2 linked regions of the Neodiprion lecontei genome follow. The protein of the gene in region 1 binds, or shares a complex with, the protein of each later gene. Links are inferred from orthologs where the notes say so. Each region holds a gene or a part of one and is shown on either strand. Other genes may lie near its edges.

Evidence for each region.
Region 2: protein CWC15 homolog (region 1) and beta-catenin-like protein 1 share a complex: the UniProt entries of both Homo sapiens proteins name them as parts of the PRP19-CDC5L splicing complex. The link is inferred for Neodiprion lecontei from reciprocal best matches to the Homo sapiens genes CWC15 and CTNNBL1.

What each region holds. Positions count from the first base shown.
Region 1 is NC_060261.1:30,138,054-30,144,159, forward strand, and holds protein CWC15 homolog, read left to right. Parts: upstream 1-2,761; 5' UTR 2,762-2,984; coding exon 2,985-3,115; intron 3,116-3,233; coding exon 3,234-3,537; intron 3,538-3,622; coding exon 3,623-3,865; 3' UTR 3,866-3,935; downstream 3,936-6,106. UniProt on the Homo sapiens protein: Involved in pre-mRNA splicing as component of the spliceosome. Component of the PRP19-CDC5L complex that forms an integral part of the spliceosome and is required for activating pre-mRNA splicing.
Region 2 is NC_060261.1:30,285,897-30,294,561, reverse strand, and holds beta-catenin-like protein 1, read left to right. Parts: upstream 1-3,004; 5' UTR 3,005-3,240; coding exon 3,241-3,270; intron 3,271-3,571; coding exon 3,572-3,951; intron 3,952-4,024; coding exon 4,025-4,356; intron 4,357-4,507; coding exon 4,508-4,731; intron 4,732-4,818; coding exon 4,819-5,001; intron 5,002-5,087; coding exon 5,088-5,235; intron 5,236-5,321; coding exon 5,322-5,488; intron 5,489-5,668; coding exon 5,669-5,852; exon of another isoform or gene 5,853-5,961; coding exon 5,962-6,050; 3' UTR 6,051-6,364; downstream 6,365-8,665. Other genes in the region: eukaryotic translation initiation factor 2A, read right to left, coding at 186-361, 450-549, 760-1,023, 1,269-1,296; polycomb protein Asx, read right to left, coding at 8,223-8,642. UniProt on the Homo sapiens protein: Component of the PRP19-CDC5L complex that forms an integral part of the spliceosome and is required for activating pre-mRNA splicing.

The DNA of each region.
Region 1 (6,106 bases):
AATCATTATACTATACGGGAGTTTTGAAAAAAATAACCGTGCATACACGGGAATTTTGAATTCTGATACCGCTGGACATCAAGATCCAAAGTTTCTCCGATGCTTGTTTTTCCTGAAAACCACGGTTTAATTACATGCGTTGTGTACTAACTCGCCTCGAGTGCGCCTCAATCTTTGATACTGTTTAATTAGCCTTTGTGAGATTACTAAGCATCGCTAATTTACAGTAAAAATTATTGCAATTCCGTAATCCGGTAACAAATTTCGAATATTCAAGGTTCTTATTGATTTCGTGAAAGTTTTTCAAAGTGATGTAAATTGAACAACGATTTTATAAAATCAATTTCAGAAGGCTCGTTTTTATAAAGCAGTATATTACAAGCAATGTTTTATTTTACTCAATTAATTAGTTATTTAAACGAAAAATCTAATATTTTTGTGAAATATTAGGTAATACATGCATTTTCGTATACGTACCTAGTTATCCATAAAATATCACTCAGATATTCGTAAAATGCATTTCTACCCTGTTTATCCCCCCTATAAGGCCGTTATTTTATTAGCGAGTAATATTTTTCGGTAATATTAGATTAGTAGAAGAATATTTGTCGCAATATTGGTTCATCGAAATGAGTCTTAACATTTGAAGACTTGATTTGTTTCAAAATCGAAAAAAAAATAATTACGCGTATACAAACATTTAGCATTTTCATTTTCACACCAATTTCTGTTACGCTCGTGACAGCGAAGCCATGACACATGCGCAAAGAGAACCATTCTCAAGTTTATTATAGATACCACATTTTTTGATTTTCCGAAAAAAAAACAAAATTTATGTGAATGCCGTCTTCACACACACACACACACACACACGCACACACATCCGTGTAAAAGCGCGGCGCTGGACTGAGAGCTGTATGATAAGTCACCTTTTGCGGGGCTTAATCCGCCGGCAATAACATCAATTTCTTAGAGCGCATATTCTGGGCACATCAGAAAATCAACAACAAACTTTATGGTGATATATGACCTCTCAACTGCGTTCGAAAATTTGACATTGCTGAACGCCGAATCAGGACTATTGACGGTACGTACAAAACATAGTGTAATTAGCTGTATGGAATAAAGAAAGCATGAACACAAGATTGAGATTGACGTGTAATACGAAAGAATGATCAGTTTAGAAAAAAAATGACGATAAATCGGTTATCCCGCAATAATGTTCGAAAGAATTAATGAGAATTTCTGTCAATATTATGTCAAATAACAGCCAAGAGTGGTTGTTCGAAACCTGGGTTGATCAATTCGTCTTCAATCCACTGATCCCCAATAACTTAAAATGGCTTTAGGATCTACCCATTTTTTACTTCGCCTTCGAAGTCGGCGATCGATGATTAAATTATTTTTCGTCTTGCAAAGGATGCAAGAGATATGAGAGCAGAGAGAAACGTTGATTAATATTCATCGAGACTCACCTTCCCAAAGAAACGACCCTTTATGTAGCTCCTTCCCGTACATATTTTCATCGTAGATCACATTGGGAGTAAAGTTGTTTTTGTCATGTTTAGACATCTCTATTGTTCCGGGTAATTCGAGCCACAGTCCGGTAAAGTTATAACACTTAGAAATCACCTAAAATCACAGTTATAAGGCACGTAGTACACCCAACACCGCTTCTCTTGATCACTCGTACTCAACTGGCTGCGGTTTCGTGTTGAACGGGCACGGGATTTTAATGTTTGAATCGAGAACTTTTAGCCAATAGCGTACGCTCAACTTGATACGTGACATCCAAATTGTTTGATTTTTTCACCTTTGCTTGCCTTGTCACGACATTTGTTTACAAGCAGTCACAACGGTGTCATATGGTTTATATTCACATTCCCGTACGGACGAGATAAACGTGTGAATGCATAGGTGAGGTGTATATCCGTGTATCGGAACGTTACCACTGTAAGTTGTCAGTGAACGTTACTGAACAAGATTGTTTATTCATTTATTTTACGAAGAAACAATCGAGATACGATCTGTGTCCACCGGATGAACAAAAACACTTTCCTTTTCCGTCTATCGATAAAAATTAAATAAATGCATTATCAATGATTTCACCATGGGATATATTCTTTATCGATTCATTGGTTCATTGATCACATATCTTATAGATATGTTTGCGTATATACATGCACATACACACCAGAGATACTTGTAAAACCAAGTAGTTGAAGACACGGTCAACATAGGTATGATAAATTCACAATTAAACTTACTGTAAAGGGAGTAAGAAAAAGACTACTACTAAGTATTTTCGGTGACCACGATAAGGTGGCCACCCCCCTCCAAAATCCAGCCCCGTGATGTTCTGAGAAATTTTTTGCATGATTTCTGAAGGAAATACGACGAACTGTCCGATAGCGAGGACGAAATTTTTATAAAAGCAAGCGATTTTGCGTCCGTGACTCAAAATAAATGTTCATATTTTCTGAACATGCGCCATTTACTGAGTTCGGATATAAAAAATTTTTCGGGATCCGTCCAACCAGTCACCTAGAAATAAATTTAAAATTCGAATTTCGGTCAAGAGGACACGTATCGGCCTACCAGGTTGCAGAGCGAGAGAGACAGGCTGTACACGGCATAACTGCTCTATCTCACTCCTTCGCCACACTTTCTGTACACGCGAAGCTATCTCCAGTAGTATATGCTCCATGGTAATATCTGACAAATTGACCAGCGCCAACTTCACACGAGTGCAGGTAGCGGAGACGGTGGTTGTTGACTGCCGCCTCTGTGTTACATTAGTCGTTTTCCATAGTTCATGGCACAAAATCCAAACCAAAATTTACTGCTCCCGTCACAGCAAGTACATACGTCAATAGCGTATGCGAAAAAATAGCCAAGTGTAAACTAGAATCTGAGTAGTGTTTTAAGGTAGTTTTTATCATCGTCCCGAGGGATTCGCAGGCTCGTTATACTCTGGTTTCAAAATGACTACAGCTGCGAGGCCGACGTTCGAGCCAGCGCGCGGAGGTCAGGGACGCGGAGAGAAGGATTTGAGCGCAATTTCTAAACAATACTCGAGCAGAGATCTGCCGTCTCACACGAAATTGAAATACAGGTAACAGTACAAGTGCAGAGATACCATTTTCGCGTGTCTTATCTCTGTCCTCGTGTGCTTTTTCAATATATCGCGTCATAACCAGAAAGTTCACATAACCTAAAAATTGTCTTCCCAGAGAGTACGGACAGGGAACAACAGATGAGTTGAGAAGCCGTGATTTCCGCAAAGAGTTGGATGAACGTGAGCGGGAAAAAGAGAAGGCGTCGAACCGTCGCATGATTGAACCTGCAAATCGTGATGGTTCAGCTGTCGCAGCAAAAAGACAGAAAATCGATCAAGTACCAGCAGCTAGTTTGGATGCCGACGATCCATTGGACGAAGACGATTCCGATTCTGACAGCGATGAGGATGACACAGTCGCATTACTTGCTGAACTTCAGCGCATAAAGAAAGAACGTGCCGCCGATCAAGCCAAAAAAGTAACGCACCTGGATAGAGATAAATTCTCTCTCCCTGCGATCACTGATTTGTTGATTTATAAATTGTCATTTTTTTTTTTACCAGGAAATAGAAAAGAGACAAGAGGAGGAGCGGATACGCATGGAAAACATCCTTTCCGGTAACCCACTTCTCAATTATTCAGCTCAGCCTGGCCGTACAGACATGAAAGTGAGAAGGAGGTGGGACGATGATGTGGTTTTCAAGAATTGTGCACGCTCAGAACCTGAGAAAAAGCGGGATGTGTTCATAAATGACTCGTTAAGAAGTGAATTCCATCGAAAGTTTATGGAAAAGTATGTGAAATGAACGTTGTGTCTAGCTGAAGAATTTGAATTGATGACAATCTCGTATTGTGTAATAAACAAACTAGACTACAGTTATCATATGCACTTGACAAATTACAATCCGATAATTCGAATCAATTTCATTTTGAATAAAACTAGCGTAAGTGGTATAAACTTTCGTTAACTATCGCCATATTCTTTGTTCTTCTCCAACTATAAATTAAGAAGCTGGAGTGTGTTAAAGTTGATTCATTGTATAACTTGTACAATGTTTGCGATTGCAAAAAAAAACTATTTTCATTAAACTATACATATAGGTAAACCAAGTTGTGTTTGTATGAAAATATTTCTTGACCCAAACACATTTTCTACTTACAAAAAGTGAAAACGATAAACAGTGTTCTAATCGAATAATTTAAGTTTCTTCTTGTTTTTAGTAAAAAAATATCTTGGATTTTTTGTGAAACTATTCCGAAATTTTTGTCATCTGGCATTGTGACCAGCCCATTTATTTACCATTTTCTTTTATAGTATGTAAAGAAGTTTATGCAATGTAACTAGATGAATAAAAGAAAAGCGCGGAAATTATGGAAAATGTTGAAATGTTTCACTGATTTTTATCTACGCCGAATGTTATATTTCCTGGAATTTGTTCGAACGATGATAGGATATCTCTAATGGAAGACAACGAAGACATACGAGTAAGAGGTATGGGACAAGAATTCTTTGCTTCCCATCAGCTACAATAAGAAAACCAATATTAATCACGGAGATAAGAATGCGGTAAAGGAGGGCCTAGATCGCCGTGAACGAGAGTCAAGACTTGATTTCGGTAGGAGTTGGTCCAGCAAACGCATGGGTCAAGTATAACCGGTCCGAGTTATGACCATTGGTATGGTGTTACGTGTACGTACGTACTATACGTGCATCGTCGCCGTTGTCGGGCTGCGGCAGAGGCAAGCAGTCTGGTGCGGCCGTTCGAAGAGCGAGAAATTTATTACAAGAGACATGCGAGTTGGGAATTGTTGGTTGGCGCAGACTTTGCGGCACCGTTTTTGCGCGCAAGCAGGCGCGCTGCCGCTGAGGAAAATCGGTGACTCCGAGTATCGTTAATCAAGATTTAATAACGATCACCCCAAGGCAAGGCGAACGTGCAGCACCTTGCAGAGCAGTTACGTCGATTTCTCGCATATGTACGAAACGTTCGTTCAAATATGCCGAATACACGCATGCATATACGCGACATGGAATTCCATACGTATGTAATACTCGTAGTCGGGAATTTGCCCGCGGGCTTTTCTCCAGCTCTCGTGCATACTTACGTGTATAAGTGCGTAGGTACGTATGTATATACGTACATACTTGTTTATCTTATTAGTTATTTCTTACACGTGAACAGACGGTGCTCCCTGCTTTACCTCGTGCCTCCCTACCTGCCTCTCCGCGCCTCTCTTTTCTCCGTTCTCATCCTCCTGCCCCTCTCCTCTCGCTCTTTCTCTCTCTCCTCCGCGAGCCTCCTCTTCGGCAGGAGAATCTTCTCATCCCGTATTACCTAGCATCCACGTCGGTGTCGACTCGACAGGGCCGTACAATTATTGTTTTTTACAATGTTATCACGGTGTTTGAACACCGACGACAGCTAGTACAGCCCGCGTTTCTCGTAATATCGTTCAAATCAATATTTTCGCGATTTACATTCAATTTGCCGCTTCCGGCGATCATTAGAACGGTTCAGTAATCCAAAGCAATCACGGTTTTAGACCCCATAGCAAGTTTTCCAACGATTTAAATGATGACTCAATAAATCATTTCATAATTAATAATGAAACGTTACTTATGTATTTTATCGAGTCCGCTTTTTTCACATACACACACTTTGGCTACATCAGTCTAATTAGTTGTCCCCGTCAGTAAAAATGTTCTTCATTCAACGATCGGTGGTAGCAGCCTTCTTTAGATCTACCGTTCTGGTAAAAAATACATATCAATTTTTACACGATGATTCATAAGAGACTGAATAAACATCAATTATCTATATATTGTCCCAATTCAGCATCAAATATTTGAAAAATTGCATTTGTATGCGTTCTTCATGAAAAGAATATTATATTTCACTACATTTCCGCTATTACGGCATACGCTACTGTACTTCTGGTATAAACAAGTTACGAGATGGAATTCGAAGAAGTTGTCAGCTTTATAACTGATCAGTGCCATTTGATGGCTTCAATTATAACCGCCGTTTTTGTGCCATTCTGCACGA
Region 2 (8,665 bases), about 150 kb from region 1:
ATCTGTTATGCCGTTGATGAGCTATGGGCATGACTCCTTTTTTCCAAACATTATGTCCACAGCGGTTTGTGGTGTGCACTGTGCTACATTCATTTATATAAAATCTATGCATGGGTTGAAGCATGTGCACTCAACCTTCCCTGTGTACCATAAACTCAGAGTATATGGAAATATAACTTATTTACCTGGCATGTTGCAAAGGATATGATAGGGGGGATTGCCTGTCGCTACACTAAATTTTGCAACCTTAGCCATGTTTATCCTATTCACAACCTTAGAAAAATCGGCATCTTCATAGAAGTTGACAGTGCTATTAACCAGCATACCACATATCCTTTCATCACTGGACCACTGAAGCTCCCTGGCATTATTTACAGCAATGAATTATCATCAAATCTTGAAATGTGTGGCAAACCAATTTGAAATTGTATGTATCTTCCCACCCTTACCAGTCCATTTGTTTCTTATGAATAAAATCCTTGACCAGCTCTCCATTTTCAGATTTCCATATACAGAGGTTTGGACAGCCCTGGGGATTAGCCTGCGATACTGAAACATAGATTTTGTGGTAGAGCAAAAGGGCCTTAAGCATTTGCTATAACATATCAGTGGAATATCAAGTTTGCACATTAATTTGATCGAATCATATTTTCAAAGTATTTTAATCATTAATCATTAGAATTGCCGAATTTATGTCAATTTCTGAATAATCAATATCCTATACGCATGGAAATGAGAATTATGAAATATACAACGTACTTATAAATGGTTCCCAAGTTGCTAGGTAGGTTCCCTTGGGTGAAAAATCTATGGCAGAGATCTTAGGCCGTTTAATTTCAGCAACTATTTGCCAATTTTCGGTAGCAGCTATCTTCAACGATACTCCATTTGTCCAGACGTAGTATCTTCCCTCAGGGCTAAAAGCCATGAGTTTACAAGATCTACTGGCATCGCGGGGGAAACCACTGACTGGCTCATAGGTTGGTGGACCCTGGCCCAGACTCGTTCCTGTCGAACCTCGCACTGTAGATAAATACGTTTAACCATATAAATATTATGTATATATTAATTCATGACTCAGTGACTTCAATCTTTCCACCTTCTGCATTGCACGGTGAAATCTCTCGAGCAGTACGCTCGTGAACATGTTCTGCAGATATAGCCTTCGTACGTGTTACGCAGGATTATCTGGGGAAGCGTGAGCTGAAAACACTAACGAAACCACGGAAAACGCCGGCGAGAATTATCGTAAAAATTAACTGACTTACCAGCGATACAAGGAACGGTCGTGGCCATTTTGTAACTTATATTTCTGCCCCTTGCAGAATCCGAGTTAATCCGACATTTTCAGATATGAATTTGTGCTTGCAGAGGGTTCCTAAATTTTTGTAGATCTTTCTTCTTCCTATCCAATTTGATAAACAAGGATGCCACGATTACGTGCATTCATGTACGTACGATACACAATTCGTAGCTACACAAATACTGTTGTACTCTACCGGGCTTGAATTATAACTGGAAATGCGATCGCAGCGATCGCAGCGGACAAGACTAGATACGTGTGCGTTTATACTAGCTGCTAGTGGCAGCTTCGCTCACATACTGGCATGTATGCAACGGTAGTGTGGTCAGGAGTGAGATATATTTATATTTATGTTTATATATATATATATATATCCGTATAATATAATGTTTTTGTCGTTGTACATTTGGTTAGGCGAAACGTATGGAAGATGAAACAACCATACCGAATATATATGTATTTTTCTCTCTCTCTCTCTCTCTCTCTCATCACTACGGCTTTAGTTTTCGCAGTTTTCGCGAGGTTGACAGAATGAGTAACTGCCTCCAGTAGTATACGCTCTAAAGTTTATATAGATTTGAGATAGCATAGCCATATATCTTTATACATAAGCCATTTTATACAACATGCGCTTACCGGCCAAATACGTCACGAATCAGTTCTAAACCTCTATTTCGTGTCAAAGAGCGGTACTAAACCACGAACACGAAAACACGAGCGTGTAGGCTCGCTCTGGCTTCCCTCTAGTTACGGATTTCTATGTCATAGAGTGAGACCATACAGAGCGGGTGACTTTGGAAGGTATATTGAGGGAATCCACTGGTGTTCGGTGGGAACTCCCACGACTATAAGAGAGCTAGTCAAGTGTTAATATAAAGTGAAAGAGATCATGAGCATTCTCAGTTCTGATTTTGATACTTACAGATACGTGAAGATAATTGTTACGTTGTGCTGTCTGGTACAGAAGAAAAGTGTTATTTAATTAAAAAGCATTGATGTATTAACATTTGAAATCTGGTAGAACTCTTCAATATTGAGCTAGATCACGAGACTGGACAGCTTAGAGCCCCCATAAACACGGTCCAACATCAACGTGCTGTACTGTACGCGTAGGTACTCAATGATGCAGTGAGCTATACCATCCTAAGCACTGCTGAGTATTTTATCAACCGTAATAATTAATTTCACAGAAGCAAATGAAGATATCAATATTTGCCATCGTAGCCGTAACAATGATCCTTATTTCGGCTGAGGTAATTAATGTTGAAGCTGGACTGGTGGGTGTTGGACTTTGCTACGCCGGCTGCGCGACGCTCGCCGTCGCATGCTTTAGTGCAGCTGGTGCCATATTCGGCGTCGCAAAAATTGCCCAGATCAATGCATCACCAGCCCTAGGAAAATGCAATTCGGCATTCAGTTCTTGCGAATCTGCCTGTGTTGGAGCATTTGGTTGATCTAGACGTGTCATCTAGATGTATCGTAGTCCGAAGGTCGTTGCTGACCAAATCATGAATGAAAGCTGCAATAAAAACTCGTAAAATATCTCACTGTTGAATGTATTTCACCGTTGTTTGCCGCCTTATCGATATTCACTTTTCACGCTCGATACCATTCACCACTTGCCGTCCTGTTCCGTTCCAAGTTCCATTTGTCCCGTTGTAACCTAACCTGATTCAACCCAATTCAACCTAGCTGATAATAATGTATGCCTATGCATAAGTATGTATACACATGGTAATACGGAGAGTACCAATATAGACTCATTGTCAGTCACTGAAGAACATAGTCTTTAATCAACACATCAGGATTTATGTACTAGGGTTATACACAATTACCATGTATGGCTTTATTCTGTTATTGGTTAATTATCACGTTTACTTATTAACATAAAATTAAGTAGCTGTGATTTAAAAATATCGAGACAAACAGTTTTCGATATGGATATCGGTGAACTATTATCATACAAGGTAATTATTCAAGTATTTTTAAAGGTTACCAAAGTTAGGTGATGTTTAGTTTTCAATCTGAACAGTAAAGTTTCTTACGCTTATTGTATTACTTTCGTTACTATACTTAAGCTACTTATTAACGATATTCACACTACAAGTGTGTGTCAGTAACATAACCTGCCAATCTCTGAGACACTGGTGGTTATCGTCGTTAGATAAGGGTGCGCTCACTGCATTACTGTCATTAGCTGATAAACCTGCAAGTTATGATGATTTCTGTTGGAGTAGGTTGGGTTTTATGTAAGGAATTAACTTTTAGCCACCCAATACACCGAAACGACCAGTACATGGAGATGAAGAAGATGAGGATAACTGGGAAAATGCTAAACGATCAAAGCGTGTGATTAAAACGCCATATCATCCTCGTCAGCGACAGATTAATGAGGGTGATCTCACTCCAGCTGTTAGCAAAGAACCTCCTACACCAATCAGAGCTGCACTTCCAGCTCCAGCCAATGATGTTGTCGAACCTCAGTTGACAGAAAAAGAAAAACAAGAGATTATCAAGTATGTAGAGACGGAAGCAGCAGAGGTTGAAGCTTTAGATGAAGCCACGCTAAAGCGAATGATTCTGTTGTTTGAAAAACGAGCTCTTCGGAATCAAGAGATGCGGGTGAAATTTCCAGATCAACCAGAAAAGTGAGTTAGCATTTACCCAATTATTTGTGAAAACAAACTACCAAATGTCATTTTACCATTCTGTCTTTTCTAGGTTCATGGAATCTGAGTTGGAGCTACATGAAACATTGCAAGAACTAAATGTAGTAGCAACAGCCCCAGATCTCTACCCGATAATGGTAGAACTTGGTGCTGTGGCTTCCATGCTAGAGCTTCTGTCTCATGAAAATACAGACATTGCTGTTGGGGTGGCTGATCTGCTGCAAGAGCTTACAGATGTTGATATTTTGCATGAAAGCCAGGAGGGTGCAGATATCCTTATAGATTCGTTGCTGGAACAGCAAGTATGTGCCCTTTTAGTGCAAAATTTAGAAAGGCTTGATGAGAGTGTAAAGGAAGAAAGCGACGGAGTTCACAATACTTTGGGTAATATTCAATAAGACAGCAAGATGATTATTACAATATGGACGTATAAAGTTGATCTAAGTTCAATTAGGACATGAAATTATTAGGGATATTTATTTTTGATCTTAGTTGTCACCTTTACCTAAAGGGTTATTCCTTAATTTTTTTCAAGCCATATTCGAAAATCTGCTCGAGTTCAGACCAGACCTCTGCGTAGATGCAGGTAAACAAGGACTCCTCCAGTGGCTACTACGAAGAATCAAGGTGAAGGCTCCATTTGATGGAAATAAGCTATATGCCAGTGAACTGCTGTCCATACTTGTTCAACAAACACCTGAGAATAGGTTGCTGCTTGGGGATTTGGATGGAATAGATGCTCTTTTACAACAACTCGCTGTAAGGGTTTTGCTGTTTTCTAACTATATTGGAATTAATCTCGATGAAAGAATAACAGATGCAAACCCGTTCACTGTAATCCTTTAGTTCTACAAGCGTCACGATCCTCGAACAGCGGAAGAACAAGAAATGATGGAGAATCTTTTCAATGTTTTGTGCTCCAGTCTAATGGCAACGATAAATCGAGAACGCTTCCTCCGTGGCGAAGGACTCCAGCTCATGAATCTAATGTTACGTGAGAAGAAAATGTCTCGTAATGGATCTCTAAAGGTACCACGTATATTGAGAAATTTATGGAAAGTTGTCACAGCCATTGACGCAGATTTCCGGTTTCTAGACAGGGGTTTATATTACAGGTACTGGACCACGCTATGAATGGGCCAGATGGAAAGGACAATTGCATGAAATTCGTAGATATACTGGGATTAAGAACAATTTTTCCATTGTTCATGAAAACACCAACTAAGAATCGAAAGAAAATACTCACAACGGAAGAGCATGAAGGTAGTTACATCATTTTTATTTACTACTGTTCCCCTCCTGCTGAACTCACCATTCTGTCTTGTTCCCACCACCATGTATTTATTCAGAGCACGTCGTTTCCATTATCGCAAGTATGCTGAGGAATTGTAAAGGAGCACAGAGACAGCGTCTGATAAGCAAATTCACAGAAAACGATTTTGAAAAAGTCGACAGACTGATGGAGCTTCATTTTAAATACCTAGAAAAAGTAGAGGAGGTCGAAAGAGATACAAAGGCAAGTCGTAACTATAACTAGCTATTGTTCACTTTTGTAATAATCTATAAATTAATATCAAAACTGACATTACTTACCTTGATTATACTAATTTTTAATCACTACAAATTTGTGTATGTGTGGGATTTAATCAGTGGATATTTTCTATTCCTGATATTATTTAAAATTTCTAATTTACAGGATGACGAAGAAGAGGAAGAATCTTACATGAGGAGACTGGACGGAGGATTATTCATTCTCCAGTTAGTAGATTACGTTTTATTGGAAGCCTGTACTGGCTGTCCACCAACAGTGAAACAACGTGTAACGAGAATTCTCGCACAAAGACGAGCATCTCTCAAAACCATAAGGCACATTATGAGAGGTAGAATAGACAGCTCATATTGTGAATTCGCACTCCCAATACCCTTTTCTCTCTTTCTACAATATGAAGGAGACAACATAGAAATCGTTTCTTTTCTTAATTTCTACAGAATATGCGGGTAATCTTGGTGATGCTGGTGACAATGAGTGGAGAGAGGCGGAACAGCAACATATTTTGCAATTGATCGACAAGTTCTGATGTCTACCTGCCTCGCGATTTTCACCCTTTACATTCATCAGAGGATTCTCACACATTACCCAATCGTGTTCACACGTAATTAGAGATGTAGAAAAATCCACTGTACATCGGCTAAAATCGAAAAATTTACAGATTATTGCAATCACGTAGTATTAATCACATTTGCATTTAATTTACATCGTTAATAAGAATGAATTGTCAGTAAACGTGATGCGCTGTTTTTGTAGGTAGTTTTGTTGCGATTCTATCAGTGTAACTCCTACTGACCAGCTTATCTTGCATCTCAATGCCAATAAAATCGAAGTGAGTCATAATATGTCTACATACATAATCTTGCCATATATTATTCTTATAATTTTTACGTCATTTTCTGTTCCCTACAGTTCGTTACTTCATCATTAATCAGGATTAAAGAATGGTATGTATAACATACTTACATTTACAGCTTTGGTAGTTCTGTATTTTTCTCGAATAAGCCACAAAAATTGAAAAGAAGCGTCGCTTCATCAGTTGACAGTCATCTGTACTATGAGTTGTAGTCAACATTTGTTGTAATGCCTTTCTGCTTTGTTCTTCACTGTTGCTGCAACTTATATTTTTTAACATTTTGAATCATTATTTGTGAGAGGATGGATTTGGTTCGATGATGAAAGAATGACAAGGCTTCTATACAATTTAATTATAATTGTCTTCAGACGGTCTGCAATTTGCTACTGCAAATCTACCGAGTGAAAAAAAAGTCGAAAATTTTCGTTAATCATATCAGACCATTTTTTAAAGTTTTAAACGAATATGATTTTATTTACATTTGAGCGGAGTACACAGTAGGTGCTATGCAATCACAACAATAATATTATCATTGTAAGATGATAAAAAATAAACAATTATGTATTACAATCTAATATGGATGAGTCGCGTCTTGTATTTTCCCTGATACGCTAAAATGTAAAGTCTCGTGCTCTGCAAACCTAATGGCGTAATGAGATAATGAAAATATGATTAAAAAAAAAATTAAAAAACATGTTTTATGTACAATGTGAGAATTCGACGTAAAGTCAGTCACGCCTTTTTTGCGCGCCGTCAGTTCCGTCGCTTTTCAGGATCAGTCCAGTTCGTTGACTCGATATAACGAACATCCGTCGCAGATTTATCTAACAATAAGCATTGGATCACAGCTAATCTACATGAAAATCTTACCTCTAATGATAATTAATATGTCGCTAATGCTAAATAGGTCACTCGTTAATGACTCGATAAGACATGCCTTAGACGAACGAGTTTCCTAAATACATCGCGTGTGAGGAGACGCGGCAGAATGATTCCAAGGCGTTAAACTGTATCGAAATACATGAGTCAAGCTCATTAAACTCTCTTTTCACTGTATGTTTTACGCTAATCTGTTGCCGCATCTCATCGCATTTTTTTCAATAAGAATATCCTTTGCAATAACGTGGGTGATGAATTGAAAACTGTGGGAATAAATAAATAGCGATATCACGAACGATTGCGTGTGATGTTAGTGGAAGACAATAACGGTGTCGGACTGCAATGCAATTTTAGCCCTTATTTAACACTGAAAGTAATGGGGACTCAATAAATCACCAGGCCTGGATATGCCTCTGATTGTACGTAGCATTAAAAGTATCGAAATAAAATACACGAGATAACACGGATGATGGCAAGTTGCTTTGATTGTTTACGCTTCACGCGTTATTTTTCTTATTTATACTTTGTTTCATCACTCACCAGCCTTAGAGTGATGGTTATGGGAGGGTTTCACAAAGGAAGGTAGAATTTTTTGAATGTCAAGTACATGTCAATTCAATAAACATAACAACGTCCCCACTACGCCCATGTTCATCTACTTGTAAGAATATTGAATGAACGGTAACCGGGTGGATAATAAACAGGTACTGGCCGTGGTGAAAAAATTTCCAAAAATCTCATATTAAGGGAAGTTTTTTCAAAACAGTACCACCAAATTCACCAACAAATGAGCTAGCAGCAAAGAAACGATAGTTGAAACCTATTTCCGGCAATCAAAGATATGAAAACTATGTCAAGCCTAACAGCCGCTCAGCCTTCTCATGCTTTGTTATCCAACGCTAGCCCTCTCTAGCTTGATCTATGGGTTTCATCTATCTGGCTACTTGATTTATCATTAACCACCGATCAACGTATGAGGCAGGTGGCGCAAATCCGTTGAGGTCCAATACAGTCATCATGGCAAAAGGCTCCGCATTGACGACATATGACCATGGCACCTCTCATATTGCATTCACATGGTGGTGGAGGATCACCACCCATAATAACACCGGGAGCACCAGGCTCAGCACCACCACCACCTCTCCCATCTGAGGCACCCCTTGCCTTCAGAGTTACAGCTTGATGAGAACCCTCCCCGGCGCTCGCTGGCCTTCCTCTGACCAGATGAAGTCCCACTCCCATTCCAGCTATTTGGGGGGGTAGCGGCGGTGCCGATGAAGCCCGAGGTGCACTGTCACCAACTCCAGTTCTTTGTACCAAGATGTATTGCCCCAGGCCATTTGTTCCATTGGGACCCAGCTGAGCCACTGCCCCACTTTCAGTCACCTGAAACATAATTTATGTAAGTT